Linked DNA regions of Diceros bicornis minor. The protein of the gene in region 1 purifies or fractionates together with the protein of each later gene. This does not show direct contact. Links are inferred from orthologs where the notes say so. Each region holds a gene or a part of one and is shown in the gene's direction. Other genes may lie near its edges.

Region 1 (16,072 bases):
AAGGGACCCAAGCGGCAGTGTACACTCCAGGACAACATCTTTATCTGATGGATGGGGAGGCTCTGCGACTCTTCCCGCCTCACGGGTGGGGCAGAGACAGTGTCAGGGCGTTTCGACTCCTACCCAGCAGTTTCGACAGCACGCCTTACTGCGCCTCCATCCAACACACGTTTATTAAGTCCCCTCTCTGGGCCAGGCCCCAATCTGAGCTCCGTCTGAGGCAAGGAGAACGAGACCCAGGGACCCTGTCCTGTCTCTCTCCCCAGGTACAAGGAGGCTTCGGCCTGGCGGGGCTCCTTCTGAGCTTCAAGACCCTCCTGGTTCCTCCCCTGTGCAGGGACATCCCCTGGGCTCCGGTCCAGCTTTCTCTGTTCCCTTGGAGAGAGCGCCAGGAATGGGAGGCAGCAGGCGGCCAGGGGCACAGGGCGGGCCGGGAGGAAGGGCCCTGAGTCCAGTTCATTTCCTGGCATCCTTGTTTGCCGTGTGCCCCTGGCTTCTGGTGGCTGTTTCCGGCCCGCCCACAGCCTCCCTGGCTGAGTGGGCAGCTGGCCTGGAACTGGAATTCTCCCGCCATCCTCAGTTTCAGATGCCTCTCAGCTGTGCCCTCCCCTCCTACCCCAACAGACCCAGATGGGAAGCCCGCTCCCCCACCAGCTGCGGGGCGTAGGGCATGTCACTTTGCCAGTCTAGCCCTTTGTTTCCTCTTCTGAAAAAAGGGATAATGGGACTGACCTCACAGGCTTGTTGTGAAGAATAAAGGTCATGGTATACGTAAAGGGCCTGGCACAATGAGACTCCCAATAAAAACTGTTATCCCTTTTCTCAGCCAGCTCTCCCCATTTTCCTCCTCCAAGAAGTCTTCCAGGATGCCCACTTTCCGCTATCTCCCCATCCCTGTGTCGGGTTCCCAGTCTGAACCTTGGGGAAGGCCAACTGGGTCCTTCTGTGATGGGGACTCTATGATGGGGTTCCTCAGGTGCTGATACCTCCACTAGCTCTTGGGTGTCCATTTCCCTGACATACACTCACTCACGTCCCACGGTGAATGGGGCCCAAGGGACCCACAGGGAGACTTCTGAGTTTTTCAATGGACCAGATTCAATTTGATACACATCATTGACCTCCATTCCAAGCAGAGCACTGTAGTAAGAGCTCTTGGCAGGGTGGAGAGAGAGGGGGTCAGAGGTTGCTTTTTCTGGAGGACAGGGCTGTTGGGGGAGAGATAGCCACTGCCACCCCCACCCCATCTGAATAAAAAATAACATTTATTGAGCTATTACTACGTGGCAGGCATTGTGCAAATTCTCATTTAGTCTCTGGAATGACTCTATGATTAGAGTGCAATTTTTAACTCAATTTTACAGATAGAGAAACTGAGGCACAGAGAGCTTAAGCCACTTTGCTCAAGCTAAAAAGTGACATCTGGCCTAATGTGACAAATGCTCTATTGGAGGGAAAAACAGGATTATGCTGGGGCAGAAAGCATCTGTTGAGACCCAGGGAGCCTGGGAAGATGGTGGGTTTCAGCTGGCCTTGAAGGAAGGGGAGCTGTCCATGGGCTGGAGGAAGCTGGAGCTTCCTCCTTTGCTTGCAGGCAAAGGCCTCGAGAAAGGGGTGAGCAGGCATCTGGGGGATGAAGATCCGCTTGGCGGGCTGGGGCTGTGTGGGCAGAATGTGAGTGTGGAGGGCAAGGGCCAAAGATAAGCAAGGTGGTCATGAAGGACCTCAAGCCCTGGGCCGAGGAGCTGGGCTTTGGGTTTGTTTCTGCAAGGCATACAAGGTTGGACTTTGAATGAGGTCAGATCGGAGGGGAATAAGAAGGCCTCCTGAGTGACAATTGTCTAAGGGAAGAGAAGGGAAGGGTACAGTGTACGGCCCGATGCCAGGTGTTCCCCATGTATGATCTCAGTTAACCTCCCGACAGCCCCCAGAGTTGGGCATGACCATGACCTCTTTGCAAATAAACTGAGGCTCAGAGGTGACCAGAGGTGAGTTAGAGGCTAATGTGCATTGGGCTGGGGGACCCCACTGTCTGGGGTGAGCCAGGGCCCAACTATGTATGCACACTGGTGGCAAAGGTGGGTGTACAGTGCTCTGAGGTCTTCTAAGGCTGTCTGTGAGTGCAGAGAGGAGGGTAGGCATGGAATGAAGTGGGGCCCCTGGGGTTGCAACTGGGGTCACCAAAAGAGCTAGAACAACAAGGGGGTTGGAAGGAAGAAAAGGCAGAGCTCAGGGGCTGGAGCCCAGGGCCAGATGGTGAGAGGCCTGTGGGAACAGGGGCCCCAGGCGGATATCTTGGGTGAGCCTGCTGTGGGCCCAGCCTGACGGCGTGGAGCCAGGCTGGCATGGCCTGATCGTCACCAAATCCAAGGCTGGCTTTCCTGGGGAAAGACCGCTAAGAATTTCCCTCTGCTGGTGGGTTTGGGGTGCACCACCTTGGGGTCCCTCCTAGGCTATCGCCATCCCTGTTCTGGGGCCTGGGGCAGATTGCCAGCCAGTCCTGCACCTCCACCTCGGAGACCTAGAGGTCCCACAGACTCACTGGCTGTCCTTGCTGCTGACTTCTCCCATGTGCCCTGCATCGCACAGCCACCAGCTCCTGCCCATGTCCCTTGCCCAAATCTCTCTCATCTACACCTCTAGTTTAAGGCAGACCCTCACTCCTTCTCATTTCCATCCCCGTATCGGCCCCCAATGGGTCTCCTTGACTCCTAACCAGAGGAAGCTTTTGAATCCACAAAGGCAGTCAGCTCACTCCCGGAGGTGGGGCGGGGGGAGGGGGTTGGGGAGTGAACCCATAAGCTCCCTTCAGTTCCAAGCCAGCAAGCTGGAGTCCAAACTCCCGGCCCAAGTGCTTTCCTGAGCATGTCCCTTCTAGCCAGCTGTGCTTGGGATCACTGCCCCACCGCCCTGCCTATTGCATCTCACTGCCCCCTTGTGCCTTCCAATGCATCTGGCTGGCCTCCCCCAATCCCCACCCCGAGTTCCCTTCTTAGCAGTCGAGGTGGGCCGTGCCCTCACTCTGCCTAGGATCTACGCCTGTCAGGGGCCTTGCCCAGAGCAGTTCTGCCACTGAGGGAACGGCCTTGACATCTCCCAAGTGCCATCAGACTCCTCCCCTCAGAGGAGTCCCTGATGCCCAGGAAAAGGTGGGGATGGGACCCCCAGAGGGAAAAGACCAAGACCCTGGGGGATAATTTTACAGGAAGGTGAAATCTCCTTCATCGTTGCCCCCATCACGATAACAGTTCCCGTCTGGAACCTCTGCCCACCCCACCCACCCCCACTAAGTTACTCTTTGTCCCAGCTCTTCTCCCCTCCAGCACCCTTTCCCTCCCTCCCCCGCCGCATTCATGGCTGCCTGAGTCATTTACACCCTAGGGCCCTGGTTTCTGTGGGCGATGCCGTAACATCCTGCCCCATCCCTGCCAGGGAGCACACGTGATACCCTGCCAGGTAGGGGTCCCTGCATCTTAATAGGAAGTTTCAGGGGAGGGTTGCCAATGGTGAGAACTTCGGTGATCAGGGCTGGAAAGGAGAGGGCCATTATGAGGAAGGGCAACTTCTGCTGCCTCCCAGGTCAAATTCCAGAAGGACGCCCTGCCTTGCACAGCAGACTCGGGGTCCTGAGAGCAGGCTTGTGTCTCCCTGCATTGTAGTTTAACTCCTTAGCTGGCGGAAACTTGCAAGCAGATTTCAAATCGGCAGCGGTAACTGGCTCCATTGCTTTTCTTGCCGCTGGCTGCTCAGGGGTGAGGGGCTGGAGAGGCCGGCACAGGGGCAAGAGGTGGTAGGAGGCTAAAACCTGTGTTACTCAGGGCCTGGCCGTCCAGAGCGGGCGGGGAGGAGGAAGTGAGTCAGTAGGGACAGCGATTCATGCCTCAGAATTCTGACTTTCCTTTTCAAGCCACTGAGCCAAGACGTTTGTCCCAACAGGATCCCGTGGTGGGGGAGGGGCCGGGAGCAAGAGGATATTTATGAGACAGAGCTGGCCTCTCACTCCCCTCAACTGAGCTCCCTTTTTTACGGCCACAAAGAGTATGTGGCCGGCTGAATTCAGCTGGACACTCGGTGGTTGAAGACCCACTGTGTGTGAGAGACTGGCACGGGTGCTGGAAATATGGGTGTAATCAACGGTGAGTTAGCAAGCCCCTCCTGGGTCCCAGTTCTGTTAGTTTTGAACAAACCTGTGAGTCTGGTATGTTAATGTCCAATTTATAGTGAGAAACTGAGGCTAAGAGAGGTGAAAGGACTTGTCCGAGGTCACAGCCCTGCCAGTCTATAATCACACTACAAGTCCAGGCTACAAGTCAGTGCAAGGCCTAGAAGATTCAAGAGTGGCTACGTGTATGCATGCACACGCAGAGGTGCAGGGGGCAGGAGTGAAGGAAGAAAACTCGTGAAAGATTTCAAAGAACAAGTGGATATTTTCCAAGCAGACAAGGGGGTAAAGGGCATTCCAGGCAGAGGGACCAGCATGTGCAAAGGTCAAGTGGCATGGACTGGGCCCAGTGTGTCCATGTAATCCTGCTGGGGACGAGGCACTGAGGCAGAGGCTGTTACAGGGAGCAGGCTGTGGGGACGAGGGGGAGATGCTGAGCCGGTTCTGGACACTCGGAATCTGAGAAGCCTGAGGTCGGCCAGCTGGAGGTGGCTGGTGAGAGTTGGACATCAAGGCTGGAGTGTGGAGGAGCTTAGGCGGGTGTCCCCAGCGTGTAGGAGAATGCTAGTGCACAGGGGATGGTCTGGGGAGACAGAGGGATGAGGACCGTGAATAGAAGCCCAGGGTGGGCTGAGGAGTCTCACCAAGGGGGCGAGGGTGCTGGGAAGGAACAGTCAGGAAGGAGGGCCAGGAGAGGGTGCAGAGGAGTTTAAATGCAGAGGGCAGTCCACAGGGTCACTGCTGCTGCCCTAGAAAGGTCGGGGGCAAAGAACCAAAGACAGCTTTTGGGTCTGCCCATCAGAGGAGGCTGGTGCCCAAGGAGAGAAGGCTTCAGTGAGACGGAGGGGGCTGAAGCCAGGTTGGGGAGCTGGAAGGGGCCACAATAACGCAAGGGAAGGATCCTTACTCCAGGGACAACAGACAGGTGACTCCACTCAGCAGATGTGACTTCTAAGCTGTGGTGTCCTGGAAGACGACTGGGGTGGACGGGAGGTGGTGGGTGCCTCGTGGAGGTACTCACACCCTTGCACCTTGGGCATCTCAGTATTTTCAGCTGTAAAGTGGGGGATGTCTCCACTTCATAGGGTTACTAGAAGATAACATACGTAGAAGGCCAGGCACACAGCAGGTGCTCAACAAATGTTGCTCCCTTTCCACATTCAGATGTACATAAAACATTCAGAGACACGTCGTCACACAGGCAAAAGCGTGAACGCATGCACAAACCCACGTTCCAATCCACATACATGTGGGAGCTCTCCGAGGACAACCACACATGGCCCTCCACCCCTAGTGGAGTCTTTAGGGAGTTAGTAGGGGTGGGGGGCGTAGATGAAGCCCCCTACCTGTCCAGATTTCCCACCTGAGCACAGAACCCTGCCGGTAAAAAGGAATCTCCCCAGGAAATAGCAAGGGCCCTGGGGATTGGGGACTCAGCTCAGCTGGGGCTACCACATGGGCCCCCATGGCCTCTCAACCTTGAAGGGGCCACCTTGGCATGAGATCGAGAATGCTGTAGAGCCCACCAGAGCCCTAATCTCCCAGCCAGGAGGGCAGGGCATGTGCAGCAAGGCCAGGCCATGGGTGGCAGCAAAGGGATCATGAGAGGGTTGGAGGAACTAGAAAGATGGGGGTGGGGTGGGGTTGGCTGGTAGGGAAGTTTCCTGATGTTTGGGGCCTGCCTCCTCTGCTCTTTCCCTCTCCCACCCCTGGCATGCCCCACCACACCTGTACCTGAAGTCCAAGGCAAATCAGTGCCCTGGGTCCTTCTCACTCACCCTCTCCCTCCCTCCCTCTGCCCCTGTCTCTGATCAGCCCGCCTCGCTGCTTGCTCAAATTATTGTACCCAAAATGTTCTAACGCCCCTCCTGCGGCCCCACAAGCACCAGCCCTAAAATACAATGCAATGTGGGATTAGGCTGTTTAAACTTGAGAGCTTTCAGATTGTGAGGCCAGGAGGAAACCCCGGCTTCCCGAGGATGCGCTGGGTCATCTTTGACACCCCCAGGGGTTCTCAGCCCTGTGCTGGTACAAAGCAGGTTGTCAATGAATGCTTGAGGCTGACAGGTTCTGAGCCAGGGAAGTTGCCTGGACCAGGCGCCTGCCTTGCCAGCCCCATATCTGGGTCACAGGAGAAAGGAAATCTGATAAACCCATTCATGCTTCACCACTCCCCCCCCCCGCCCTCCTCCCTCCCTCTTCAGTCATTTGCATTTTCAATTCAAGTCAGAGATAGAGACCCAAGTCTCGCTTCAATAGCAGAGCTTTGATCCACTTAGTTAAACAAATATTAGGAGCCTTGGGACGCAGGGATGCTGGTTGAGGAAGAATGAGGGATTTCCTCCAGCCCTTTCATTTCACAGATGGGGAAGCTGAGGTCTGGAGGAGGAAAGTAACTTGCCCAGGATGAGAGGGCAGAACATAGCCTGCATTCGCCCCCCTGGCACCGCAATTCCACTCCATCGCTCTCTCTCCAGCCGCTGCCTGTGCGCGTCACGTTCACACCTGACCTTCCCGTGAGAAGTGAGTGAGCAAGTGGTGCGGCCTGGGGCTCGGGGACAGCGAGATGGGGCACGTGCCGGAGGAGACAGGCAGAGGAAGGCTGGTGCAAATACATAGAAGGTGCCTTTACAGAATATTTGACGTTGTCGTTGTCGCGACTGGGAAAACTTCACCTCAAACTCAGCCCTGACTCTTCTGCTTTCCTCTCTCCCAAGGCTTCCTCTCCCTAGTCCTTTCCTTCTCCCTCGTCCAGATACTCCTCCTCCAAGGAGCCTTCCTGACCCCGCAGCAGAACCCACAGTTTGCATGTTGTCGTGGTCATCTGTGGTTTGGTTCAGTGTCAAGGCTGATGACACCACACACATACCAAGAGGGTCTGAAAAGGTTTATTATTTACATAATCGAGGTCTCTAGCGGAGCAGGGCCGGCCTCTCAAGCAGGTCCGAAATGGCTTGAGAGAGCAAGGAAAGGAGGTTGCCTGGGGTTTTATTGTGGTTAGGGAGTGAGGTCGGGGTGCGTACTTGTGCGGGAAGGGGTTTACATGGTTTGAATCTCCCAGGGACGCCAAAGGAGGAAGCCCAGCACCCAGGCTTTCCTGTCGGCTTGTCCAGGTGGCAGGCACAAGGGGAAGAGGGAGAGGTGACAGCTTCAAAGCTGTCAGCTGTCAAACATCAAAAAACGGACTCAGACTCCTCATCACACATGTTATTCACATGCCCTTGTTTCTCTCTCCGTGTCTACATTTCTAGGCAGGTCCCTTCTGCATCGGGAAGAGTTGACATGACAAAGTCAACTGAGGGATGAGATGAGGATGTGGATGATAATGTCACTGAAACCAGAGGATTTCGAACCTTTGACATGAACTTGGGATTTCTCTTCCTGCATCTCTCCAGCCCAGAGACCCTTCAGTCTCCATGTCTCCCTCCACCCCCCTTCCATCTCCCCCAGGTTTGAAACTCCCCCACATTCCTTAGCTTGGGTCCTCCCCCTACCAGGCACCCCTGCTCCCGCGCCCACATTCCCTCTGGACACTCCCCTGGAGTGGAAAAACCATCCCTCATCCCTTTCCTGCTCCCAGCCCCGGGATCGGACATGCTGGTCATTCCTGTTTGGGATGGCCATAGAGATAACGCCTGACATGGAGCCCATCTGTCATCACAGGACTCTCAAAGCTATTTCAGGCGGGACCCTTGCCCACAGTGTGTCCACTGTGGCCCCTGAGCTCCCGGCACTGGCTGTCTCCCTTTCTTCTGGAACAAGGTGGAGGACCCAGCAGCCGCCAGAAGGAGAGCAAGGTGACCATTCAACTTCCATCCAGATCAGCTTCCTGTTCCTTGACCTCAGACATCTCCTAACCCCTGGATGCTCTGAGCCACAAGGTGGGCCATGGAGAGAGGCTGGGTGGCTCTGGAGTCACAGTTTGGGGACAAATGCTGTTGTAAAGGCAGATAGCAATGAGTGTCCTCTCCCCAAACACCACAGAGAACGCTGTTATCGCAGCTGGTTTTGTTTAGTTATGTCTAGTTGTCTCACCAACATCTGCCTAGAGTTTCTCTCTTAAAGACACAGCTGTGGTCAGTGGCTTCCAGTCCTAGCTCTGCCTCCTGTGAGCTGCGTGACCTTGGACATCCAGGTTCCCTCATAAGTCAAATGGGGATGATAATCCTGACCTCACAGGGAGGCCGGGAGGATGAAATGAGAGTCTGCACGTGAAATGATTCATAAGCTGTAAAATTTGGCTCAAGTCCCTTCCCAGGCTCTGAATCTAATTTTGTACGCCTAATTCTTTGTTCTTTTCCTTAACAAGGGCTCCAAATTGTACAAGTTTCAGGCCTCACCAAACCTAGATCTGCGCTGAGTATTGCACAAATGTTAATTATTAGCATAAGTGGTCAAGAAGGGCCCTAGATGGGGGCTGGCCCAGTGGCGTAGCAGTTAAATTCACGCGTTCAGCTTCGGCGGCCTGGAGTTCACCGGTTCGGATCCTGGGCGCAGACCTACTCACCGCTTATCAAGCCATGCTGAGGCGTCTTCTATGTCCCACATAGAAGAGCTACAACTCTACAACTATGTACTGGGGCTTTGGGGAGAAAAAAGAAAAAAGAGGAGGATTGGCAATAGATGTTAGCACAAGGCCAATCTTCCTCAAAAAAAAAGAAAAAAGAAGAAGAAGGGCCCTGGGGTCAGATAACACAGGATTAAAATCCGAGCTGTGTGGCTTTCACCAAGTTGCTTAACCTCCCTGAGCTTCAGTTTTCTCATCTTAAAACAGAGATAACACTTCAAAGATTGTTATAAGGATTTAACTTAATATATTTGTAAAGCACTTAGCATAGTTGCTGCTGCATAAGCACTTACTAAATGGTAGTTTTCTTCTTCTTATAAACTCTCAGAGATAGGAGCTCAAAACTGAACTCCAAGGGAGTAAACGCTGAGGGCTGAACTGCTGGACCTAAATAAGAAAGCTCCTTCAGCCTAGAGAAAAGGGGAAATGAGTCTTTGTGCTACAATAAGGGAAACTTGAGGTAAAGTAAGTACATAGTGACCTCTTGAAGGTCCCTTTCAGTTCTTGTCTTCTGCGGATAACCAGAACTTTGGGCCCCGCCCACCTTTCTCCACCTGGTGCCACCGACTACACACCTGCGGGGGCTGCCGTCACCGCCCTGTCTCCAAACACTCAGTCTGAGCCTGAGTGGGAGGAGGGGACCTTTGAAATTTTGCTGTGCTGGGCCCGGAAGGCAAGAGTGGAGAAGAAATGGGTCCAGTCTGGGCCCAGCTCCCTGGCCAGGCAGTGCACTCTGAGAAGCGACTCATTTCCACATCAACAGATACCAGAAGGCACAGACCTTTGGGAAAACCGGTGTCTTGTTGCTAATTACAATTAGCGATGCTTGATTACTACCACTGCTAAATATCAGCCTGGCTTTGCTGAGGGACCATTCCCAGCTTGGATCAGAGTGGGTTGGGGCGGGTGGTCAAGAGAAAGAAATCTCGACAAGGGCAGTGAAGGGGCCGACCGCGAGGAAGAACGCCCAGAGATGGCCAGCCGCCTCTCAGGGACTCACAGCGCGGCAGAGGCGAGTCAGGCATTCTAGCCAGCGGCGCGCGGGTGTAGGTCCTAGATGCGCCAACGGCGGGGCTCTCCGGCGCGGCCGGCAGAAGTGGCCGCGCCTGGAACGGCCTTTCCAGCAGCAGTAGCAGCCGCAGCAAAGCGGCCGGACAAATCCCACCCACGGCCCCGCCCGTCCAATCCATCTTGCTCGAGAGGCAACGCTTCTGGGGAGAAGCAAGGGGCGGGGAGGGGAAATCCAAGCCTTTTGGGGCTCCCGGCAGGTGTTTGGGGGGGAGGGCGGAGTCGGGTTAGGGAGGATGAGGAGGGAGGGGCAGTGCTGCCCCTTTAAGAGGCGGCGGCGGAGCCGGGACCTTTTCTCTTTCCCCGGAAGGAAAGCGGAGCTTGGGCTGGGCGCGCAAGGTGGGGAGGTGCGGGTCTGGGCGTGGGGAGGCGGGGCGCGCGGGGGGGGACCCCTCTCTCGCGTCCTCCTTGCGGTCTACCGGTCCGCCTGCTGAGATCCGCCGCCGAGCCCGGATCGAAGGCGACAGTGAGGCCAAGGGGGCGCGGCCGGGACGAGCTGGGGTGCAGGGTGCCCCGGGCGGAGGGGCGGTGACCCTGCAGCAGGGCAGGCGGGAGAATAGACCGCGGACCTCCAAGGGGGGGATCTGAGAGCGCAGACCCGGAGCGGACGTGAAGCTGACTAGGGCTAGGGGCTAAAAACGGATCAGCGCGGCGGGGCTCAAAGACGCGGCCGGCCCGTGTGTTCTGCGGGGGCGCGGGGAGCAGGTGAACAGGTCCTCATTCCCAGCTCCACGCCCTCACGCGTTCTTGCCCGGGTCCCCGCTCCCGCCCGCAGCCATGGGCCCCGGCCCCCGCCACGGCTCCCGCGTGCAGCACCCGATGCTCTGCGCGCTCGCCTTGATGGTGGCCGCCGGCGGCCGCGTCACCTCCGCCTTCAACCTGGACACCCGATTCCTGGTGGTGAAGGAGGCCGGGAACCCCGGCAGCCTCTTTGGCTACTCGGTCGCCCTCCATCGGCAGACGGAGCGGCAGCAGCGCTACCTGTAAGTGTGGCTGGCGGGGGTGGGGTGGGAGACAGAGAGGGTATGTGTGCAGGGTGCGGATCCGGAGCTGAGTCGCAGCCCCGGGCCCGCTGGCTTCCAGGCCCGCGGGCCGCCGGCTCTTGTGAGCGAGGATTAAGGGGGCGGGGACCCGGGCAGCCCTCTTGCTGCCGAGGCTTGGCGGGAAGTGGAGGGATTGGGTGTGGGATGGTGGGCAGTAATCACTGGCAAGTGCTGACCCGGGCAGTACCTGTCTAGACGCAGCCTCTCAGCTCTTTAAACCTCTCTTGAGAGCAGAAGTGGGGTCGCCGTTTCCTGAGCCCCCTCCCATTCTGTGAACCCAGTGCCTACCAAACCCCTCTTCTCTCCGAGCTGGGAGCTGGAGAAAACTGTAAGATAAACACCTAGTGGGTCCACCTTCCCCCTTTCCTGGGGAGAACCTATAGGCATATGCATTTAGCCCACCCCTGCCTTTACACCTTGAATTTAGTCTGCGGCCATGCCAGCCACACCCCATGCAGAGCCAGACTGGAGGGCCTTCTCAGCTGCTTGGCGGTTGAGGGTGAAGTGATGGGCAAGTCCCCGTGTTTGGAGCTGTCCAGGCGCCCCCTCTGACCCCTGGAGGATGAGGGAGTAGAAGAGAGAGGAGGGGCTTTCCCAACTCCTGCCCCAGCAGCCCCCAGCAGTGCAGCCCTCCCACTAGTCATCTTCCCTGCATTCCACAGATTCATGTTGAATCTTCGACCCTGAGTGTGTTTGTTTTGGTTTGAAGAGGGAAATGGTGTTTTGTTCTGTTCTCCTTCCCCAACAGCTGCAAGAAGGAAGGGGAAGAGCTAGGCACAGGAGGAGAGGGGAAGGAGATTGCATCCAGCTGCTGTGTCCCTGCCCCCCTGCCCCATACACACTCATGCCCAGAGGGGCATGTCCAGGTTTCAGAGGTTTCTCTGCTAGGGGCTCAGTGTGCTGAGGTTGGCAGTTGGGGGAAGAGGGCAGCTGGGGGAGGTGAGGCTGCCCCAGGAGGGAAGGTGGTTAGGACAGGTTAGGCAGGCTCCATCTACCTCTTTGGACTGAGTGAACTACCAGACATCAACCCCCACCTGGTGTCTAACCCTGCCTAGCAAGAGGACGTGGTCAGATAAATGGTGTGTTGAAACCTTTCCCAACTCTGGCTGGGGCCTGCAGAAACTTGAGGAAGCTTGGAATGTCCAAAGTCCAAACTCTGCCCCAGCCTTGGCCCCTGCTCCGCTGGCCCAGCCCCTGCCCAGTCTACCTACCTACTTGGCCTCAGTTCCATCTAGCTTCCGCAGAGGCTAGGGCCACCACACTCTTGCCAGCCTGACCCATCAGCTGGCGTCTGGCCTTGGTCAACCCTGCATCTTTTGGAGACCCTAGGTGACCACCAGCACAAGTTTCTATACTGGTGCTCTTTCTGCCCCATTCCAGAAAAAGATCTTCAGATTTTCAGTGCTGAATCTGCATGATATAAGGCAACATAGTGTAAAGAGATCAGAAAAGCAGAGTAAATACTGGAAAGCTGGTGTAAATAATGGATTCTGCAAGCCCCCCGCTCCCCGCCTTTGCTATGTGACCTTGAGCGAGATATTTCCTTTCTCTTGGCCAGTTTTCTCCAAAGGGTTAGACCTGGATCTATATGCTCCTTCCCACCTCTGGTGGCCTATGAGAGGCAACTTGGCATCGTGGAGAGAGAAGAGGCTCCAGAGTCCCATTGCTAGTCTCCCATCTTGGATCTGTCACTAATACTTGCGTCTTAATTGCCTCACATGTCGGGGAGTGCAACACGCCTTCTTCATGTGGCGGCAGTGGGGCTTGAATAAGTAATGTGTGTAAAATGCTCTGCATGTGCCTACTTCTCCAAGGAGCAGCTGAGGGCTCTGGTGCTAAAGCCAGGACCTGGATCCACTCTCGCTACCCATGGGCCTCCCCCAAGATGGCTGAGCAGAGGAGTTCTACTTTTCTTCCTGGGCAGCTAGAGATGGCATTAGGCCTGCTAAGAGCCCAGAGGGTTCTAAAACTACTGAACCTCAGAGAGGCAGGTAGTTCTAGATAGAGTTCTGGGTCATTCTCTTGGGTATCATCAGTCTTTCCCAGGGATGGTTCTATATCTTATCTCCTCATCTCACTGAATCCTGCCCCTTGGCCCTTTGGGAGAGCCAGCTGGGCCAGCTGGGCTTAGCTGCAGCCAGCTGTGTAGCCAGATGTGAACAGCTGCCTGAGTACACAGCTCGGGGGAACCAGCAAGTCAAGTTGTGGTCTTATATTCTGTTAGCCTCAAAGTCTCTCTGGAAAAGGTAGAGGGTTCATGGTGCTGAACAAACTCTGAGCCTGGAGTTCACAGAAGGTTGTCAGGAGATGCAGGGCCCCCTGAAACTACATGCAAAATCTTGTTTGTTTGTGTATTGTTCTGGGGGAGAGGGGAGGAGAGCATAGCTTTCATCATATTGTCAAAGAAGGCCTTATTCCAGAAATGGTTAAAAACCCAGGTGTGGACCCTCTTTGTTCCCCATCCCCTACATCTCTGGACTGGGGTTCCCTGCCCACAATATCGGAGGCTCACTCTAACCCAGGCCCCAATTTCCCGGTCTTTATAAGTGAGGGGTGAGGAGCAGGGCAGAGGACCAAGGTGCTTTGGGGTTCTTGATGAGATGCATGAGGACCCCTGGGGAAGAGAGGGACTGTTTCTCTGGGAGATGGTCACCGACCCCCCGGCCCCCAGCACCTGCTCTGTCATTCCCTCCTGGGACTTCAGGTATCCTGGTCTGGCCTGACCTTGTGGGCTATGGGAGACACCTCTGGGGCACCCCCATCCCCTTCACCCTTACCTGGAAATGAGGGTGTCTGGAAGCCTGGGGCGGAGGTGGCTGCGGCTCCTGGAAGATGAGGTCATATCTGAGGTAGGCAGGAACCAGGCTTACCTGCTGTGCTCTCCTAAAACATGTTTCCCTGGGCAGGGCAGGCGCCTGGCAGCCTCCAAGGCTCGTGCCAGAGGAAATGGGCATAGCAGTTGTGGCTGCAGGCGGAAGGCCTGCATGTGTAGTGTCCTTTTCCTCTGGCTCTCTCCAATGACCAGTCCAGGCCAAGGAGCTTTAAGTTGGGCAGGAGGTAGGAGAAGCCTGATCTTGTAGAAAAAGAAGTAAAAGGGACTTGCTCAGAACTAAACAAAGGGGGAAGAGGATGTCCATTGCAGTAAGAGGGATTGAGGTTAGATAACATGAAGAACACCCTAAGGGATCAAATATGAAAAAAATACTAAGGAGCCAGGGAGAGGGAGAAGAAATAAGAAAAACAGCCTTTTTCTTTTGTATCGCAAGCTTGGGCCAAGGCCTCTTTCTCTCGCCCTCTCTCATTCTCTCGCTTCCTCCAGCTTGTTGCTCTGCTTCTAGGGCTGAGTCACCAAGGGGAGAGGGGGCTGGGTGGGCAGCGTGAGAAGTAGGGAGGACGGAGAGGGCTGCAGTTTCAGCTACCACAGGAGCAGCCTCTGGGGAGATGGCTAGTTTGGGCAGCAGGATTGGCACAGAGCTAGGATCCAGGCATCTGAGAGGGGCCCCCACCAGCACCCCGAGTCTCAGAGCTGGAGCGGCCCCTCCCCAACCTGCTTCCCAGCCTGAGGTGGGGGAGTAAGGCATGGGGGCCCGCTGGCCTGAGCACTGGGCCCTCTGGGCCCAACCAAGTTAACTGAAATCTTCCCGCTGGAGCCACCCCAGCACCTCCCTGAGGAGTCTGGGAAGTTGAATCTTACAGGCTGTTTCTCTGAGCATTAACCCACCCCAGGGGGCCTCTTCTCTTTGGGGTGAGCCAACCTGGTGCCCTGACACCCCTGGCCCCCATTCCCACCCTCCTCCGACTACTGCTTTCTACTTGGCTGTTCCATTAGCTTTGAACTGCCCCGGGAAGAGGGATGGGGCAGGGGTGAGGAAGTACTTTTCTGGAACTTGGAGCTCAGGGGGCTCCCCAGAGGCCAGGAGGGGCTGTTTGGCTGGAGGCAAAAGAGAGGATGAAGAGGCAGCTGTTGAGAGTCCTTGAAAGGTCATTTCACCCATCCCCCTACCTCCCAGAGGGGTTCCCTACCCGCCCCCAGCCCAGCTTCAAGAGCTAGGCAAAGTATCCCACCTAGCCTCCCCATTCTGACTGCTGCTAGGAGGGTGGGCTCCGTGGTGGTCTGGGAGGGGTCAGCTTTTGGACTGTCTGATCTGGACCAGACCCAATGGCAGAGAGCAGATGTGCTCATCTGCATATCAATTTACATTGCATTGGAATACCAGTGAGGTCTCTCTCACCCTCTGGATTCCCCCACACCTGGCTGTGGCTGGAAGCTGGACCTGGCTCTCTGCACACCCGCCTTCCCCCATCCACTCGCAGTCCTCTGGCTGTGGACCCATTGGATCCCGGGCTGGGAGCCAGAGGGCCTTAAAGGGCCTCTGAGCAGGCCAAGTAGGAGCTAAAAATACTCCAGAGGGGTTGGTGGGGGCTCCCTGTGGAATCTCTGGGGAGGGAGGGGCCTGGGATGTGGGGCTGGGATTAGGGCACTGGCCCTGCCTCCCCATCCATCAGTGGGTATGTGTGGTGCGAGGGCCGAGAGAGTATAGATGCTAAGGGGATTTATTTCAATCCAGTTGTGACTCATGCCCAGCTCTGCCTGTTCGGTAGTTACCCCAGGAGGCTAGGAGGAAGGATCCTTCAGCCAACTCCCTCTGAGATGAGGGACCTGGGAGGGCACGGCCACCTCTTGCCCTGACAACTTGGGCAGGGCAGCAACACCTCCATTGCGCTGTGCGCCCTGGAATGCAACCTGGGCTCCCCAGAGACCCCTCGCCCACTGAGGCCTGGACCTACCCCTTCAAGGCATTGTAGCCAACGCCCAGCCTCCACCTCCAGCCAAATCTGAGCTCCCACCCTAGAATGACTCTACCTGCCAGTGCCCCACCCCCACCTTAGTGATCCCCTGGTATACTTAGGCCATAGAAGTGCTACTTATGTCCCATCATCTGCTCCCTCTGAACACTGAACTAGTCTGCTATTTGCCCTCTGCTGCAGGTTCCCTAACTTGGTGGGGCAGAAATTCCTGGGTGCCTGGAGAGAGGCCTGGGAGTGTGCTAGGGCCAGTTGTGGTGCTACAAGAAATCAGAACAACAGTGCTCACGTTGGCCATGGCTTCATAGTCAGAAAGGCCTTTTGAAGAATGAAGCCATTTGTTCCCCTACCAGCTCCAGAGGCTGGCAGGACCGCTGCTGTCCCCATTTTACAGATGAGGCATTCACAGCTCAGAGAGAGAAAGGC
Region 2 (16,109 bases), on another chromosome or scaffold:
GGAGATAGCGTTTTTTTCAAAAACATACCACAATGCCATCATCACACCTAATAAGATTAACAATATTTCCTTAATATCATCTAATACTTAGTCCCTGTTTAAATTTCCCTAATTGCCCACAAAACTTTTTTTTAATAATTTTTTAATCATGTAAATGAATGACCTACATAAAAGTTAAATTTAGAAGAAAATGCAAATCTAAAGCTTCACAAAGAGTTAGCTCTCAAAAGGCCCCAAAGGGTGGTGGGTGAGAGAAAGCAGCCCCCGCAGTGGGGAACTGGGGGCAGAGAAGATAGGGGGCAGAAGGCCCCACCAAAGCCCCAGGTGGTGCATGGAGTCCGGGAGCCCAGGGGTCTGGCATTCTGGGGGCTTTCCTGGCCTGCTTGGCAGTGGTGGGTGGAAGGGTAGTGGGGACACCAGCGACAGTCTAGCCTGGAGCAGCTTGAGGAAAGTCCCCCAAGTCAAGGATGATGCAATGCAGACTGGTGAGAAACCACAGGAAACCCACCACCAAACACACTGAGCCAAGTGTTCTAGCAAAGCACACCCGGACTGGACAACAGAGGAAAGTGGAGACGGTAAATCTTGAAGGATGAAGGGAGCCAATGAAACTGCAAGTAAGGAGACTGAGTTCTGTTTCTAGATCTGCCACCAGCTGCCTGCACTGTCCTGTGAAAGTGACCTGTAGACACATCCCCTTGAATAACCGTGGCTGGGAGAGCAGGGAGGGAGTCACAATACACATTAGTATTTGCTCAAATTTGCATAAAGAAGGATACATAAAATCCAAATGAGAGTCAAAGCAGATCCTGAGTGTGGAAGAGTGGCAATTCTCCCCACTTAATAATATTGCTAACAGGCGGATCCCCAAACCCCACTCCTACCAAGTTCCTCACATTATCCCTGATCTAAAAGAGAAGTTGCTGCAGGATGAATAGGAATTTGTTGGGAACAGGAAAGTTACTGTAGACAAAGATCGTGACAGGGTCAAAGGCAGAGAGACAGATGGGAATGAGCCCAGTGAGTTCAGAGAATTAAAAGGAATCAAAGGAGTAAATCAATGTGGGATCTTGGATTGGATTCTGGAACAGGAAAAGGACCTTAGTGGAAAAATTGACTCTAAGCGATATCTGAGCAAAATCTGCAGTGTTAATAGTATTGTCCCAATGTTAACTTCTTAGTTTTGACAAATATGCCATGGTTATATAAGATGTTAATAAGGGGAAGCTGTACTATCTTTGCAACTTTTCTATAAACCTAAAATTATTCCAAAGTAAAAAGGTTATGAAGAAAGAAAGAGAGAGAAGGAAAGAAGGAATGTAGTGCAAACTGTCTAGAGCAGTTAAGGTGCCGGAAGGGGGAACGGGTGACGGTAGCAGTAGAGGCCAGATGACCAAGGGCATCCTGTGCCACGAAGTGGGGTCCAGACTTCATTGATCTGTAGGCAATGACTCCATGGCAATATTCTCCCTCCCTCTGAGCCCTCCCCTAGGCCCCAGGGGGACATTAGTGACAGCTTCTTACCTTCAGGTTCATCTCAACTATATTTTACCTGCCCATATCTGCCTGAATCCACATACTAAGGTCCCAGGTCTTAACACACACACACACACACACACTGCCCCTCTAGGAGGAGCCTGTGTCCAGCCTCTGGTCCTCCTCCTGAATCCAGAACCACCCCCCAGAACAGAAGTCAGCAGCCATCCCCACTCCATATGGTGGAGAAAAAGCAGTAATTCTCCCCTCTCCTCAGCTGTGGAAGGGGAGGCTCAGAAGGACAGACACCAGCAGAGGCAGGACCAAGGTGCAAACTCACCATCTGTTGTCAGCCCCTGAGATTCAGGGAGTCAGTTTGCTGGGAGGCACCTTCAAGATGGCACAACCCCTGGGGCGTCACCTGCAGCCCCCCGCCAACCACCTCTACAATCAAAGGGCAAGAAAGGCAAAGAGTAGCGCCAGTGTTAACACATCCATTCACCCCATGAAGAGGTAGTTCAGCACCTGGGCTCTGGAGCTGGACCACCTGGGTTCAAATCCTGGCTCTGCTGCTTCCTAGCAAGTTAATTAACCTCCTTGTGCCTCAGTTTCCCCATCTGTAAAATGGAAATAATAAGACTATCAACCTCACAGGGTCATCTGCAGATTAAATGAGCTCCTATATAGCAGTTAGAACAGCATCTGGCACATCATATGTGCCCTTCCAGCGTTAGTTCTCTGACTTATTTTTATTAAGTTTCTGCAGAGTACCTACTGTGGATACTACAGGAGCTGATAATCTGACTGGGGAAATAATTTAAAAAGAAACATGAAATTAACCACCTAGGACAACGTCTGATCAGAGACCAGTGGGTGAATCAGAAAGAAATTGCTACAGGAGCACTGAAAGGGAGGGTCAGAGTAGACTGGGATGACCGAGGATGCTGGGGAATGCAGGGGCCGTGCTGGCCTCAAAGATGGGTAGGCTGCATATAGGGGGAGAAGAGAGGAAGACGGGCCAGGGGCCAGGGCTGAGGTTAGGGGAGGTGGGAGCCCAGGCATAGATGCGAGAGTGCATGCAGTGTCCCAAGAGAGGGTGCAGAATTGTAAATATAGGACAAGACAAGAGACCAGAGGGCTTTTATGGTAATCTTAGAATGGGACATTAGCTTTTCATACAATTAATAAGTATTTATTGTGCACCTGCTGTGTGTCAGGCACTGTTCAAGGCACTGGGATCCATCTGGGAACAAGACAGTCAAAACTGCCCGTTCTAGTGGAGTTTACATTCTAGTGGGAGGAGGCAGACAAGAAACAAGACACATACTAAGAAAATGCTCCACTCTGTTAGAGGGTGGTAAGTGCTACGTCCAACAATTTAAAAGTAAGAGGAGTTGGGAGGTTTTTGAGCAGGAGAAATGGAGGAAAGAGCAAAGCAGGGGCCGGCCCAGTGGCATAGCGGTTACGTGTGCATGCTCCACTTCAGCGGCCCGGGGTTCGTAGGCAGATCCTGGGCGCAGACAGAAGTACTGCTTGTCAAGCCATGCTGTGGCGGTGTCCCATATAAAGTAGAGGAAGATGGGTACGGATGTTAGCCCAGGGCCAATCTTCCTCAGCAAAAAGAGGAGGATTGGCATCAGATGTTAGCTCAGGGCTGGTCTTCCTCACAAAAAAAAAAAAAGAGCAAAGCTTTAGGAGTATGAGGAAAGGATGATATTAACTATTAGTTACTTACAAGGCCTCCTGACCCCCAGTCTTCTAAAGAGGACAGCTCCTGAGACCTGTGACTTGTTTTGCCGAGCTGGGGTAATGGGAGACGGCAATACAAACTGGAAAGGCTAGGTGACAGCTACCTTGTTCCAGGACAGGAGAGCGAGGGCCAGAAGGCTGGCAGGGCTGGGTGGAGGGCAGGACACAAGGCAAGAGTGGCCGCCACAGAATGGAAGTCTGAAGAAAGACGTATCCAAAAGGGGTTTTTGGAATGGTGCTCTCTGTCATGTGAGCTGTCAACCCTCATCCACCTCTCCGTGAAATCCTCATAAACTCCTCACTCTACACAGGTGGCCTCCACGTGGACTATGCGTGCGTTTAATGCAACGAACAGAAGTTACGGGTGAGAGTAGAACTGCCCAAGCCCAATGACATGGACAGACAGTCCAGTGCTGTGTGCAGACTGGATGGGAGAATGACAGGGAGAAAGGACGGAGGGGAGGACATTCGTTTGGGCTGAAGAAGAGTTTCAAAGACATGGCCCCCATCTTGGGTGGTAGTAGGAGGAATGAGAGCTGACAAGCTAACACGGGGCTGGAATCAGAAGACCTGAGGTCTGATCTTTCCTCAGCCACTAAATCACTGTCTCCTGCCTTAGACTTGCTTCCTCATCTTCAAACTGGACAGCCTCTCTGGTACCTCCCAGCAGCGACATGAGAGACACTAGGAAGCAAGGACCACATTCACGAAGCAGGTGTGGGACTCCGGGGAGAAGGAGTCACAGGTGAGGTACGTTCGGTGCTGACTGATGGAAGAGTGGGAGGGCTAAGGAGAAAGGAAGTCGGCTTCCAGGGTAGGGAGGCCCTCGCGGATTAGGAATTCTGATACTGATGTTTATTTTGAGATAAGTATATTAGTTTCCTATTGCTTCTGTAACAAATTACCACAACTTTAGTGGCTTAAAATAACATATTATTCTACAGTTCTGAAGGTCAGAAGTCATGAGCTGGCAGGGCTGCATTGGTTCCTTCTGGCAGCCATAGCGGAGAATCTGTTTCCTTGCTATTTCCAGCTTCTGGAGGCTGCCTGCGTTCCTCGGCACGTGGCCCGCATCACGGGGATCTCTGCTTCCACCTTCACATCTCTTTCCCTGGCTCTGATCCTCCCGCCTCTTCTTAGGAGGACTCTTGAGATCAGGCCCACCAGTATAATCCAGGCTCCCTGCCCCATCTCAAAACCCTTAACTGAATCAAACGCGCAAAATCCCCTTTGCCGTGTAAGGTAGCATCTTCGTGGATTTCAGGAACTGGGACATGGGCATATTCGGGGGCCCAGTAAAGTGGAAATGACAACAGGCCCTCTGATATCATGACAAGTTTAGGGAGAGGTCAGTTCCAAAGACAAATGGAGGGAGGATCAAGAGGGGACGAGAGTTTAGTGAGAGAGCTGAGAGAGGGGAGCAGGGGCCAAGGACTACCGAGGAAGAGCCACTCCCTTGGTTTTTCCACACACGTTGACAGAGGGCCTACAAGGGCCTGGGTGCTATGCAGAACACAGAATTAATCAAATGCAAGCGTACTTTCGAGGAGCTCACCGCCAAAATGTGTGCACACAAGAGAAAGTGATGAAGCTCAATGAGTCGCACACGAGAGAGATTCCAACAAGGCCCTCCATGGGGGAAAAGACTGGAGTGTTCAAGGAAGGCTTCATGAAGGGGTGGCATTTGAGCTTAGTAAGAGGAGCAGTACAGAAATTTCCAGAAGGAAAGGGAGTGAACCAAGATGGTATAGCACCAGGGACACGGATGGAGAAGTGTCTATTAAGAAGGGATGGTCAGCAGGGTCAAATGCTGCAGCAGCATCAAGGAGAAAACACGCCCCAAATGGCCACTGGTGTGGTGCTTGGGAGGGCCTTAGAGGCCTGGGGGGTGTGGGTCCTGCCTGTTGCCTCCCACAGCTGAGGGATGAGCAGCCCCAGGGCGATGGGTGTGGCCAGTCATTAGCTCACCTAGCCCCTGCATGTTGAAATCTTACCACCAGGGGGAGCAAAAGAGCCAAAGTGGACCCTCAGCCTGAGCCCATAGGGGCTGGGAGAGGGAGAGGGGGGTTGTTCCAGAAACAGGACACCCTGAGGGAAGGGAGGAAAACTTTTCCCACTCTTGCACCACAAAGCCTGGAAGCGCTCACTGCCTCCATGTGATCTCTGACTCAGGGGCTTACCCAGATTTTCCCCTTCCAGTTAAAGCAAACCATGTTTTTTCCATCTCTCCCTTTCCTGGTTGCCTGTAGAACTAAATGCCTGTAACAAACACACTTTGGCCCAGAGGATTATTGCACCACAGAATGTCAGAATTGAGGGGACCTTGACATCTCTAAGGCAAAATGATGCTCACTGTACAGGTGAGGAGATTGAGGGCCAGAGAGAGGAGCTGACTTGTCCATAATAAACCAAAGGGCAGGACCAAGCAGAGAACTCAGGTCTCCTCACTCACATTAGGAGGACCCTCTTGAGTGTGTTAATTTGCCGCTTAACTATAGGCCCCCCCAGTTGTTTCTTGAGTGTCGATAATAACAGTAACAACAGCCCACATTGCTTGGGCACTTCTGTGGCAGGCGCTGTACTAAGCCCTCCTTGTGGATTACTTCATTCAATACTCACAATTACCCAGGAGCAGTTTCTGTTGTAAGCTTACATATTTACTGAACTCCTCCCACCTGTGCTTGTTCATGGTGTGGCTGGGGGCAGAGAGGAGAATATCAAGAGATAAAATCTCTTCTTTCCTTAGATCTGTTCTCCCAGGACCGGTGGACCGCCAAGAGCAGCACAATGGGACATTGTCTGTTTGGGACATTGTCTGTTTTTCTCCCTCCCCCCAGTGCTCACACTGTGGTGCCCCAGCTGTCCTCAGTGGATACTGGATCAGAGTGACGGACTAAGGTGAAGCATTACCAAAATCCTCTGCTTGGCGGCTCTGAACATTAGGGAAACTGAAGGGAACCCTGTTTTCTCTGCTTTTCCTTCCTCATCTTCCTTCCTTTCCTATCTCACCCACTGCTGGAGTTTCCCCAGCGCCATCAGCGGCCTGTGGTTTCACGATCTGTGCCTTTGCACATGCAGTTCCCTCTGCCTGGAATTCCCTCTCCAGCCTTGTCAGCTGACCTCGCCTTTCAAAGTCAGTTGCTGCCGTGTCCCCTGCACTAGGAAGCCTCTCCTGACTCAGGCAGACTTGAGGACGCCCTCTGTGCCCCTACTTGTTCCCAAGGCACATCTCCCTCGAAAAGATCCCGTGGGCTGCTACTTCTCTGGCCTATACTGAGATTCTTCCATGAAGGATAGAGGTCATTTCATCTCAGCATACAGACAGTACATGACATATCATAGGCTCTCAAGAAACGTTAGAAGAAGAACAAATGAATGAAGTCCTCCATAATCTGGCTCCTGCTGCTCTGACTCTGGTCTCTCCCTCCCCTCCGCACACACACACCTTGTCCCCTCTTCTGGTTCAGCTGCAGTCTCTCCACCCTCTGCCCCATTGCCCCACTTAAATTCACTTCTCTTCCTCTCTGTTCAACAGCCTCCTAGCCGATCTCCACACCGTCCTCAGCTCACCTCTCATCTCTCGCAGCTTCCCTCACGTTACCCAACTGCAGGTCCCCAGATACAACACCTCAACTTTCAGTCTAATCCCCTGCAGCTCAGAGCCAAGTGCTGGAGACACAAACAATGGTCCTTATCCTCAAGGGGCCTGCTGCCTGCCCCTCCTGCCTGCCCCGCCCAGCTACCTAAAGTGCAGGCAGGGAGCCACCTAAATCACACAGCTAATTAAACGGGTGCCCTGCTTGACCCTTCAGGGGCCCCTCCCCTCAGAGTGCAAAGTCCAGGACCACAGGGCTACTCACCTCATCCCTAGCTAGGTCCCCACCTTCACCCCCCACACACCTCCCCACGCTGTGAGCTCCAGCCCAGACCCCAGCCAGCCCCAGCTCCAGCCTTTGCCTAAGATTCTCCTGTGATTCTAACACCCTTCCCTCTGGTTCTGCAGCACTGCTTCCCAGTTTGAAGCTCCTCCTTTAGCCCCCCAGACCCCCAAGCCTATCTCTATGACCCACAGAGCACCCGCATCCCATCGTCTGGCTGCCTGAATCCCTCTCCCATGGACTGCAAGCTCCTAGAGTGCAGAAACAGGACCACCTCCTACCCCTAAGGGTATACTCTCATAAGCGGCTACTGGAAAATGTTTCTGAACGAACGAATCAGTAAGACAAATCTAACGATGATAATAAACAGAGCAAAATAAGAGCTACACTGCTGAAATTTTGAGTTCTGTTCTTTTTGTTTATTGATATTTTCTTTTTTTTGTGAGGAGGACTAGCCCTGAGCTAACATCCGATGCCAATTCTCCTCTTTTTGCTGAGGAAGACTGGCCCTGGGCTAACACCTGTGCCCATCTTCCTCGACTTTATATGGGACGCTGCCACAGCATGGCTGGACAAGCGGTGCGTCAGTGCGCACCAGGGATTCAAACCCGGGAATCCCGGGCAGGGCCGCCGCAGTGGAGCGTGTGCACTTAACCGCTGCGCGACCGGGCGGCCCCTATTGATATTTTCTGATGTTTCATAACGAGTAGGTTTTGCTTTTGTAATAACGACACTAAATGAAATTTCATTTTGAAAAAAATACAGAGAGGTTTTGGGACTTCAAAAGAAGAAGAAATCTCCTCATCCTTTGGTGTGAAACAGGAAAGGAATGTTTAAGGAGCCACAGAACTTCCGCAAGTGAAGAGGGGAGGGCCAGCAGGCCAGAGGGCACACGGCACATGCCACATGCCCCGCTGGGCTGTGCAGAGATCTCTTCCCCTTTCCGGGCATCTAAACCACAAGTCCGGGAGGCACTCTCGGACTGCCCGACCCTCGGCGTATTTTACTCCGTGATCAGTATCTGAGAATTACTCCCATAAGCCTCCCACCTATCTTCCCACCCGGACCGCACGCCTCTAATTCCTCCTACTCCCTATGATGTGCCAAATAAGAGTGTACTCGATGAGCGAGGGTTTGCAAGGAGCTGTCCCAAGGAGAAATAAAGCCAGACAGCTTCCCTTCAAATGGAGGCCAAAGCAAGAAGAGCCCTCATTCTGCAGGCCGCAGCCCTGGGTACAGGACGACCCCGGCGACCCAGGGAAGGTCTCCCGCAGTAGAGGGCTCGGGCAGAAAGCGCAGAATCAACAAGGCGACAACCGGAAGGGCGAGGCCTCCATATAACTCCTAGGTAAAAGCAGCAGGGGTGGCGGTCTGGAAAGACCCCAGGACGGTGGGGAGGATGGCGGGAAGGAGGGTACGGCCAACTGGGTGGGGAGAGGGCTGAGCGGAGGGCAGAAGGGGTAAGAAGGAAGGGTGGGCTCGGGGGCAGGGGTCTGGGGCCTGAGTCCCCGGGAACCTGGCTGGGGCGGGGCGCGGGCCGGGGCGGGGCAGGTGGGGCCGTAGGCGGGGTCGGCGGGGGCGGGTCCACGGCACATGCGCGCCGCTGCCGGCCGCGCGCCCTAAGGAGTGGCACTTTTTAAAAGTGCAGCCCGGAGGCCAGCCTGCAGCCGCCAGCACCTCCTGTCCGAATCCCGGTCCCGCCCGTCCCTGCCGCGCGCGCCCCCGTCCCGCACTAGTCCGGCCCCGACCAGTCCAGCCCGCACCATGCCGGTCAAAGGAGGCACCAAGTGCATCAAATACCTACTCTTCGGGTTTAACTTCGTTTTCTGGGTGAGTGAGCGCGACTGCCGCGCGCTCCTCTCCGGGGCCACCTGTTCGCCCTGGGGACCCCGTGCGCGGTCGGGGGCCCGGGTAACTGGCACTGCTCGAGCCGGGTAGACTCGGGCGGGAGGAGAATGGGCACTGCGGCCGCCAGCTGGCTCCTCGGCCAGGGCCGGGGCGGGCGAGGCGGGCACCTTCTCAGGAGCCTCTTTCGAAGCCGAGTGGGCAGGGGGCCACGGGGGCCTGGTGAGCTCGAGTCTGGGGACAGGTCCCGGGCCTCTCCTTCACCGAGGGTTTGGGATGGGGTTTGTGGCCACTCCCACCCCAAACCCCTCCGAATGCAGCAGGGGAAGGCGCCAGGGAGAAGGGAGCACCCCTGTTCTGGGAACTCAAGGTCCCGGCAAGGAGGACTGGGGTGGGCAGGGCAGACTGTGAGCGGGGTGGGGGTCTCACAAGTGGCAGGGCCGCGAGGAGGGAAGGATGCGGGCGCGCCAAGGGACTTCGGTGGGGTGGGGCAGGGAGAGCTCAGCTAAGACCTGCTGGCACTTCTGCACTGGAGAGGAAGCGGCGGGCCGGCCGCGGGGTCAGAACCTCGGGACCCAGCCCCTGAGTGAGAGTCGGGGACCCATCTCCACCCTTGAGGAGGAACCTTCAGGCCCGCATTCTCTCAGACTTTGCTTCTGAGTCGCTGTGAGAAAGTGGGAGCTCCCTCGAAACTACCTGAAAGACTAGCTTGTCTTGATTTTTTTTCAGGGGCGATAAGTATCTGAACTGGAGAGAACTCCGGGAGAGCTGGGGAGAAGAGGGGCGGGTGCCCACTGGGGCCTTTTGGGGGATGAGTCCTGTGTTTCTCCATTTCCCTGGGGAGATCAGGTGCCTGCCCCAGGGCCTCCGGCCTCACCCCCTCCCCGCCAGCCCACCCAGCAGCAAGGCCGGGCCACAGAGAGGACGGTCACCTGGAGAGGACACCAGGCCAGGGAGCTCCAGGACTCCTGCTGCTGGCCACGCTCAGCCTCTCTGCAAATGGGGAGCCTGAGGAGGGCAGCAGGAAAGGGGAGTGTCCCCTCCACACCTCCCCTGGGGTGGTTAGGGGACCTTTGTGTCCTGGTTCTGAGGGCCACGTCCCCTGCACACAGATAGACAGTATTTGCCTCTCCGCAGTCGAGAAGGAGCTGGGAAAGGCAGCCCCTGTGCCACTCTCAAGAGAGGTGGCTGTAGGAACAGGGGCATGCCACCAGAGGCTTGTAACAAAAAAATGTACTTATTCGTCTGGGAGCTGGTCACTGGGGTCCCCACAGACCTCGGGGCAAATCTCCTGATTTAATCCTCTCTCTGGAGCTGACGGAGTAAGAAACTGACCTCTCCTTGCAAGAGTTAACCACACCCAACACATGCTCTGGTGAGAATGGTACGCAGGTGTGCCCCGCCCAACCTTGGCCTGCTTTAGGGAGACCCTCCTGGTGTTCCCAGCAGCCCCAGCCAGCGAGCTGCCAGGCTGCGCTTCCTCCTCACCAGCCCCCGGCAGCGCAACAGAAAAGAATGTCGGAGGGTGGGCTGGCCCCGCCCTCCCCACCCGTCCTTTAGGGAGTTTTCCTCTCCCCTCCCAGCAGTCTCTCCCCTGCCAGTCTGTTGCTTAGTGCTCAGCTATGTGCCTCGGCTGCATCAGGGTTTGGGGCTGCAGGGAAGCACAGACTACCAGCCTGATGGGAGGCTCCCACGGCCACGCCGGTGTCTGCTCAGTCTCTTACCATCTCCAACCTGCCACCCCACCCGGATTCGAGCTTCCCCTGCCTGGGCTGGGTGCTAGGTGACCAGCTATGAAATGGAAATGACTCACTCTGGGGATGTTTGGGTGTAGAGTTAGGAATGACTCTAGAGATCATCCAGTCCAGCCCTCTTCTTCACAGTGAGGAAGCAGAACCAGAGAGGGGGTGACTTGCCCAGGATCACAGAGACCGAGCCAATGCTACAGCCCCTGGCCCCTTGCTTTAGTCCTGTCCTCTTCCATCTCCATCATGAAACCAACAAGGGTCCTGGTAATGGGCTGGTGTAGGGGGGTAAGCAGTAGCTACGTTTTCCTGAATTAATTATTGTTCAGTAGTTCTGGATTAAGGTCCCTGTAGAGATGAAGCCCTCTAGAGCTAGAGGATGGAATAAAGAAATATCATCATCTGTTTGTGCAGCATTTTACAGTCTGCAGAGTCCTTTTCCAAGTCCCATGATAGAACCAGAGCAAGAAGCATTATCCTAATTTTACTGATGACCAGGAAACTAGTCCCCAGAGAGGTTAAGTGACTTATCCAGGGTCCTGGGGCAGGATAGCATCAGAAGTAAGTTTGAAGGCAGGTCTGTTTGGCTTCAAGTCCAGCGCACTTTCCATCACAACCTGCTGCCGTGCCCAGCTGGGCGGGAAAGGAAGAAGAGTGAGAACAATCTCAAAAAATATCTTTTAAGGGAATCTATGATCTAAGGGAACTACTTGGACTGTTATGAAGTCACCACTTCCCTTTCTCTCTTGAGACCAGGAATTTATAAACTTGGCACTTGGGACCTGATATGGGCCTTGAAAACCAGGAGTTGTGAGTCTGGGGGCCACTAGCACCTCATGAGCAGAGGATGCTGAGAAGGGTGGTCTAGCAGGGATCCAGAGAGAGGAAGCCCACCTCAGTGGCAGTGAGACGATCAGGGTGGCTTGGGGATGGGGCGTACCTCTTCCCTGGCCCCCACTCTCGTCCCTGTGGGACCCTGAGTGTCGGCTGAGCCTGCACTGCCTGCCCTCCCCAAGCAGGGCCTCTGATGCCCACAGCAAACCAGCAACTGGTCTGCTCTTCCAACACCCCGGAACCCTGACTTCCCAGCTCTGATTCAGTTGTTTGTGCCTTTCCTTCAGACCTTCTGCTTACCCACCCCCAAAAAGGGTTGAGAGGGAAAACATCTTCCTGATGTCCGAGTTGTAGAGTCTCAGGCTGTGAAGTGGGGAACCGGTGCTAGGGCCAGGTCAGGAACGTGTCTATCCTCTACCCCCTTCCTCTCAGATCCTAGGCCTGCATTGAGGGCCAAGTTCCTACCCCCACCTCCCTATGCCCCTTTGCTCCCTGCCTCTCACCCCTCACGCTCCCTCACTGATGGAAATAGCAGGGGATTTCTCTTTCCCAAGAAATGGTGCCTCCTGGACCTAATGGAGGCTTCAGGGAAACGTGGGCAGAGACCTGGACTGGAAATTCAGAGACCTGATGTTAGGTTTCACACCAGCTCTGTCCCCAGCTCACTTTGAAACCTTGGGCAGGTCACTTTTGTTCTCATCTGTAAAACCAATGGATTGAAGCAAATGGTCTCAAAAGCTCCCTTCTGCTCAGTCTACGAAACTAGCCCTACCCCCACTGCCTACAGCGATGGGACCTCCCCACACAACCCACAATAAGAGCCAGGAAATAGAAATGTGCAGTGGGTACTGAGGCTTGTCCTCAGAGGTTGGCATCATTTGACCTTTACCTCTGGGGTCTGCTTCTTGCGTCACTTTCCTCTTAACCTCACAGTTCCCTCTACTCACCCAGAGTGAGGTCTCTGTTTGGGGGTTCTCTTTTTTCATCACCCTCAGCCATTTGGGGTAGTACGGCCCAATGGTCAGAGCACCAGCTCCGGATTCGATTTCCCCATCACTAAATGGAGCTGGTGTCCGCCCCGTGGGCTGCTGTGAGGGTGAATGAGAGAAAGGATGGGATGCACTTAGCACAGTAGCCTAGTACTAGGTGCGGAGTTAACTGTCCAGCTGGTGCTGCTGTTATTCACCAGTTGGAAGTAGATCGGTGAGGATGGTGGGAGCTCTTCCCTAAGAAGGGTGGAAGTCTGAACCACAGATGTAGCCAGGAGCACACCCCGAATCCTCACATGCTGCTCCCTTGTCCTTCTCTTCCTGCTGTACTGCCAGCCTCCTTCCACCCCGCCTCTGCCTTCCCACATCAGGACACTGGCTCCATTTCATGTGTGGCTACAAGTTTGACTGTGGGGCGTCTCCACTTCCGAAAATAAAACTACACGGCAAAGAAACCCTAAGACCTCAGGATTCTGGGTCTGGGCAGAGTATGGACTGGGGCGGGGGCGGGGGGGAGGGGGGGCCAAAGCCCCTCCCACGCAGCCTGCTGCTTCAGCCAGAAGCTGTTTGCCTTCACCGTGGCGCTGAGCGGGCAGCTGGGCTGTTGTGTAAAATGGCTCCCCACCTTTGGCCACCGGACAGCCAGAGCGTTGGGAAGGCCGGCTGTGTTTGTGCTGAAGCTGGCAGGTCTGCGGAGAGGTGAGGCGAGGCCAGGTGTCTGCATCTGCTAAGGAAAATAGGACTTCTCCCTGCCCACAACGTTCATGGCTTCTCCCCTGCTCTTCTCTGCAGTGGTTGTGGACAACAAAGATCTGACTCCTGATCTGGGGGAGGGAAAGGGTTCCTCTACACACACACACACACTCTACCCTTTCTTTTCACGGCACCATTCCAAACCATCCCCTTTTGGACCTGCTTTGTTAAGTGGCCCTATGGAACGCCATCCTCGCCAGAGCTCTTTCTCTGCTAAATGAGTCTTCTGTGGCCTCGGATCTCGCAAATCAGTGTTCTCACATCTTCGTTTTGTGTCAGATGTGAATCTTCCTTCTTAACACACAGAGCTGGGTGTGCCGTGTTTGATTTGTCTGTTTTCCTGTTTGATTCCATTTTATAAGGAGGCATGGCTTTTGGAATCAGCCGCACAGTTTGGAACTTAATAATACACCTTGGACTTACAGAAGCACCTTTTCTTCTAAAGAACGCAAACTTGGACTGTCTCTCCTGGGTGTGTCTGGCTGTGAGGGTAAGGGACCTGAGGTCACGGTCACCGTGGCTTCTGTGGTCCTTTTGCCTCCTTGGTGGCTGCATGTTCTAGATAAACCTATGTCGAGTTGGGGAGAGGAGAGTGGAGAAGTTTCAGGAAGCTGCATATGTATGTTCTGTGTTCCTCCCTCGCCCAGGTTGGGGTCAGTGGGACTTTATTTGGACCCGCCACAGGTCTTCTCAACCAAGGCGTTGCAGAAAAACGGTCTTTACCTCTTTTACATACAGAAGAGCAATAATCTCATTGTTTCGGGGTGTGTTCTCCACTACCCCAAGGTATCCTTTGCAGCTGGAGGAATTCAGGAGACCAAAGGGCTAATCTTAACAATACATTTTTTTAATTTATGTTTGTGAAGTCTGACTGCCGATCACTTGCCTGTTTCATCCTATGGAAAAAGTCATGCTGGTCCAGGGACATTTTCCTTTTCCAACAAGTGATGGCATGCAGCTGTGGAAAACAGCGTCCTGTCTCCAGATGAAATAATTTTATAATAATTACCTCCATCCAATAATTCCCCCACCAAAAAAGTACTTAGTTCTGGATAGTTTTTAAGTACTGTATGCTCTGATCCTCGACTTGTGGATCTTAACCTTTCTAGGGAATCCCATGAAATCTATGGGACCTGCCTCCAGAAACATGTTATGCCCATTTTTTTGCTTTTTTTCTGGAGGCGCATGGACCTCACATTATAAATACCCCATGTTGGTTTTTGTCTCTTGGTTTCCAGGCAACCCATGCTCTTGTCTTGAATCCCGTGTTTCTCCATGAGAAGCCGGTTGCCCCACCACTCCCCCGGGACTGCATGGGGGAGTGATGGAAGGCCTTGGAGAAAGGCATTAGGGAACCGAAAGTTCTCGGATCAAGAGCAGCCCCGACTGGAGAGCTGGCCTCCCCGCCTAGCCTTGCTCTGACTCTCAGCTTAATCATTGCCCAAGGAGTGGCTTTGACTCTCCATTAATTTAATGAGTGTTCTGTATTTCTAGTCCACACGAAAAATCCAACTTAATGAGCTTCCAGACAAGTTTTGCTTCTTGGGTTAGGTTTCCCCATAGTTTGGGGATTTGTCTTTGTTCGGGAAGGGCAGATTTCTGTCTTTCCCTCTTCCTCCTTCCCACCAAATGGAGACTAGAACCTTCTCTGGCCTTGCCTCTGAGGGCTTTGGAAGGGGAGAAATGTCTCCTGGGGGTAGTTCGGGGACTTGGACTCCTGAGGAGCGGTATGCGGCCTGGTTAAGTAGCAGGGGAGGATGAAGCCGTCTGACTTGGAGAGGGGCCCAGATTTCTTTGATTCCAGAGAATATTCCTGGATAGAGAGGTTTGGGGACTATTGACTTGGAGAAAAAGTCAATAAGTCTTCCTTGTTCAGTCCTCTTGCCAAGCATTGTACAAGGGAGCAGAAACAATGGCTCTGTAGGAAAGTAACCCTTCAAGGCTTACCCAACGCATATTTAAGGTTCCAGGGAACACCTGTTGGCCCGGCCAGGCCAATGGCCCATGACTTCTCCCTCCCAGGCCCTTGCCTCCAAACTGCTCAGGAGGCAGCTCCTTGCTTTTACTCCCAGTCTGAGCTGCATGTCAGTGTCCGAGTGCAGAAACCACACAAGACATGGCTCAGAGGAGAACATCCTTGACTGGGTTAAAATACGATAAAGTAAATCAGACGGTTTTATTAAATTCAAAACAGATTTCTATAGCATTTTAGTTTAATTTATCTTTAAACCTACATTGATTGGATCAATGGCATAATACATAATGTGCTTGATTTATTAAAGCTTTAAATGAAAAGATCAGCAAAATCATACTTAGTTTGTGGACTCGTTGCTTTTCAAGTCAATAGAAGTTTGGTGTTTTAATTTAAAAGATAGTCTGCTATAGGGGCCGGCCCCATGGCTTAGCAGTTAAGTGCGTGCGCTCCGCTACTGGCAACCCAGGTTCGGATCCCAAGTGCGCACTGACGCACCGCTTCTCTGGCCATGCTGAGGCCGAGTCCCACATACAGCAACTAGCAGGATGTGCAACTATGACATACAACTATCTACTGGGGCTTTGGGGAGAAAAGGAGGGGGAAAAAAAGGAGGAGGATTGGCAATAGATGTTAGCTCACGGCGGGTCTTCCTCAGCAAAAAGAGGAGGATTAGCATGGATGTTAGCTCAGGGCTGATCTTCCTCACACACACAAAAAAAGGTAGTCTGCTGTAGACTGAATGTTTGTGTCTCTCCAGAATTCGTTTGTTAAATCCTAAAGCCCAATGCGATGGTATCTGGAGGTAGAGCCTTTGGGGGTGATTAGGTCATGAGGATGGAACCCTGGTGAATGGGATTAGTGCCCT

The links.
Region 2: the proteins of ITGA3 (region 1) and CD9 purify together in Homo sapiens (affinity purification with western blotting; 3 studies listed by BioGRID and IntAct, with this or other methods). This does not show direct contact. The link is inferred for Diceros bicornis minor from reciprocal best matches to the Homo sapiens genes ITGA3 and CD9.

Annotation. Positions count from the first base shown.
Region 1 is NC_080757.1:36,217,163-36,233,234, reverse strand, and holds the start of ITGA3 (integrin alpha-3), read left to right. Parts: upstream 1-10,253; 5' UTR 10,254-10,574; coding exon 10,575-10,780; intron 10,781-16,072.
Region 2 is NC_080756.1:55,468,735-55,484,843, reverse strand, and holds the start of CD9 (CD9 antigen), read left to right. Parts: upstream 1-8,766; 5' UTR 8,767-8,867; coding exon 8,868-8,933; intron 8,934-16,109. UniProt on the Homo sapiens protein: Integral membrane protein associated with integrins, which regulates different processes, such as sperm-egg fusion, platelet activation and aggregation, and cell adhesion.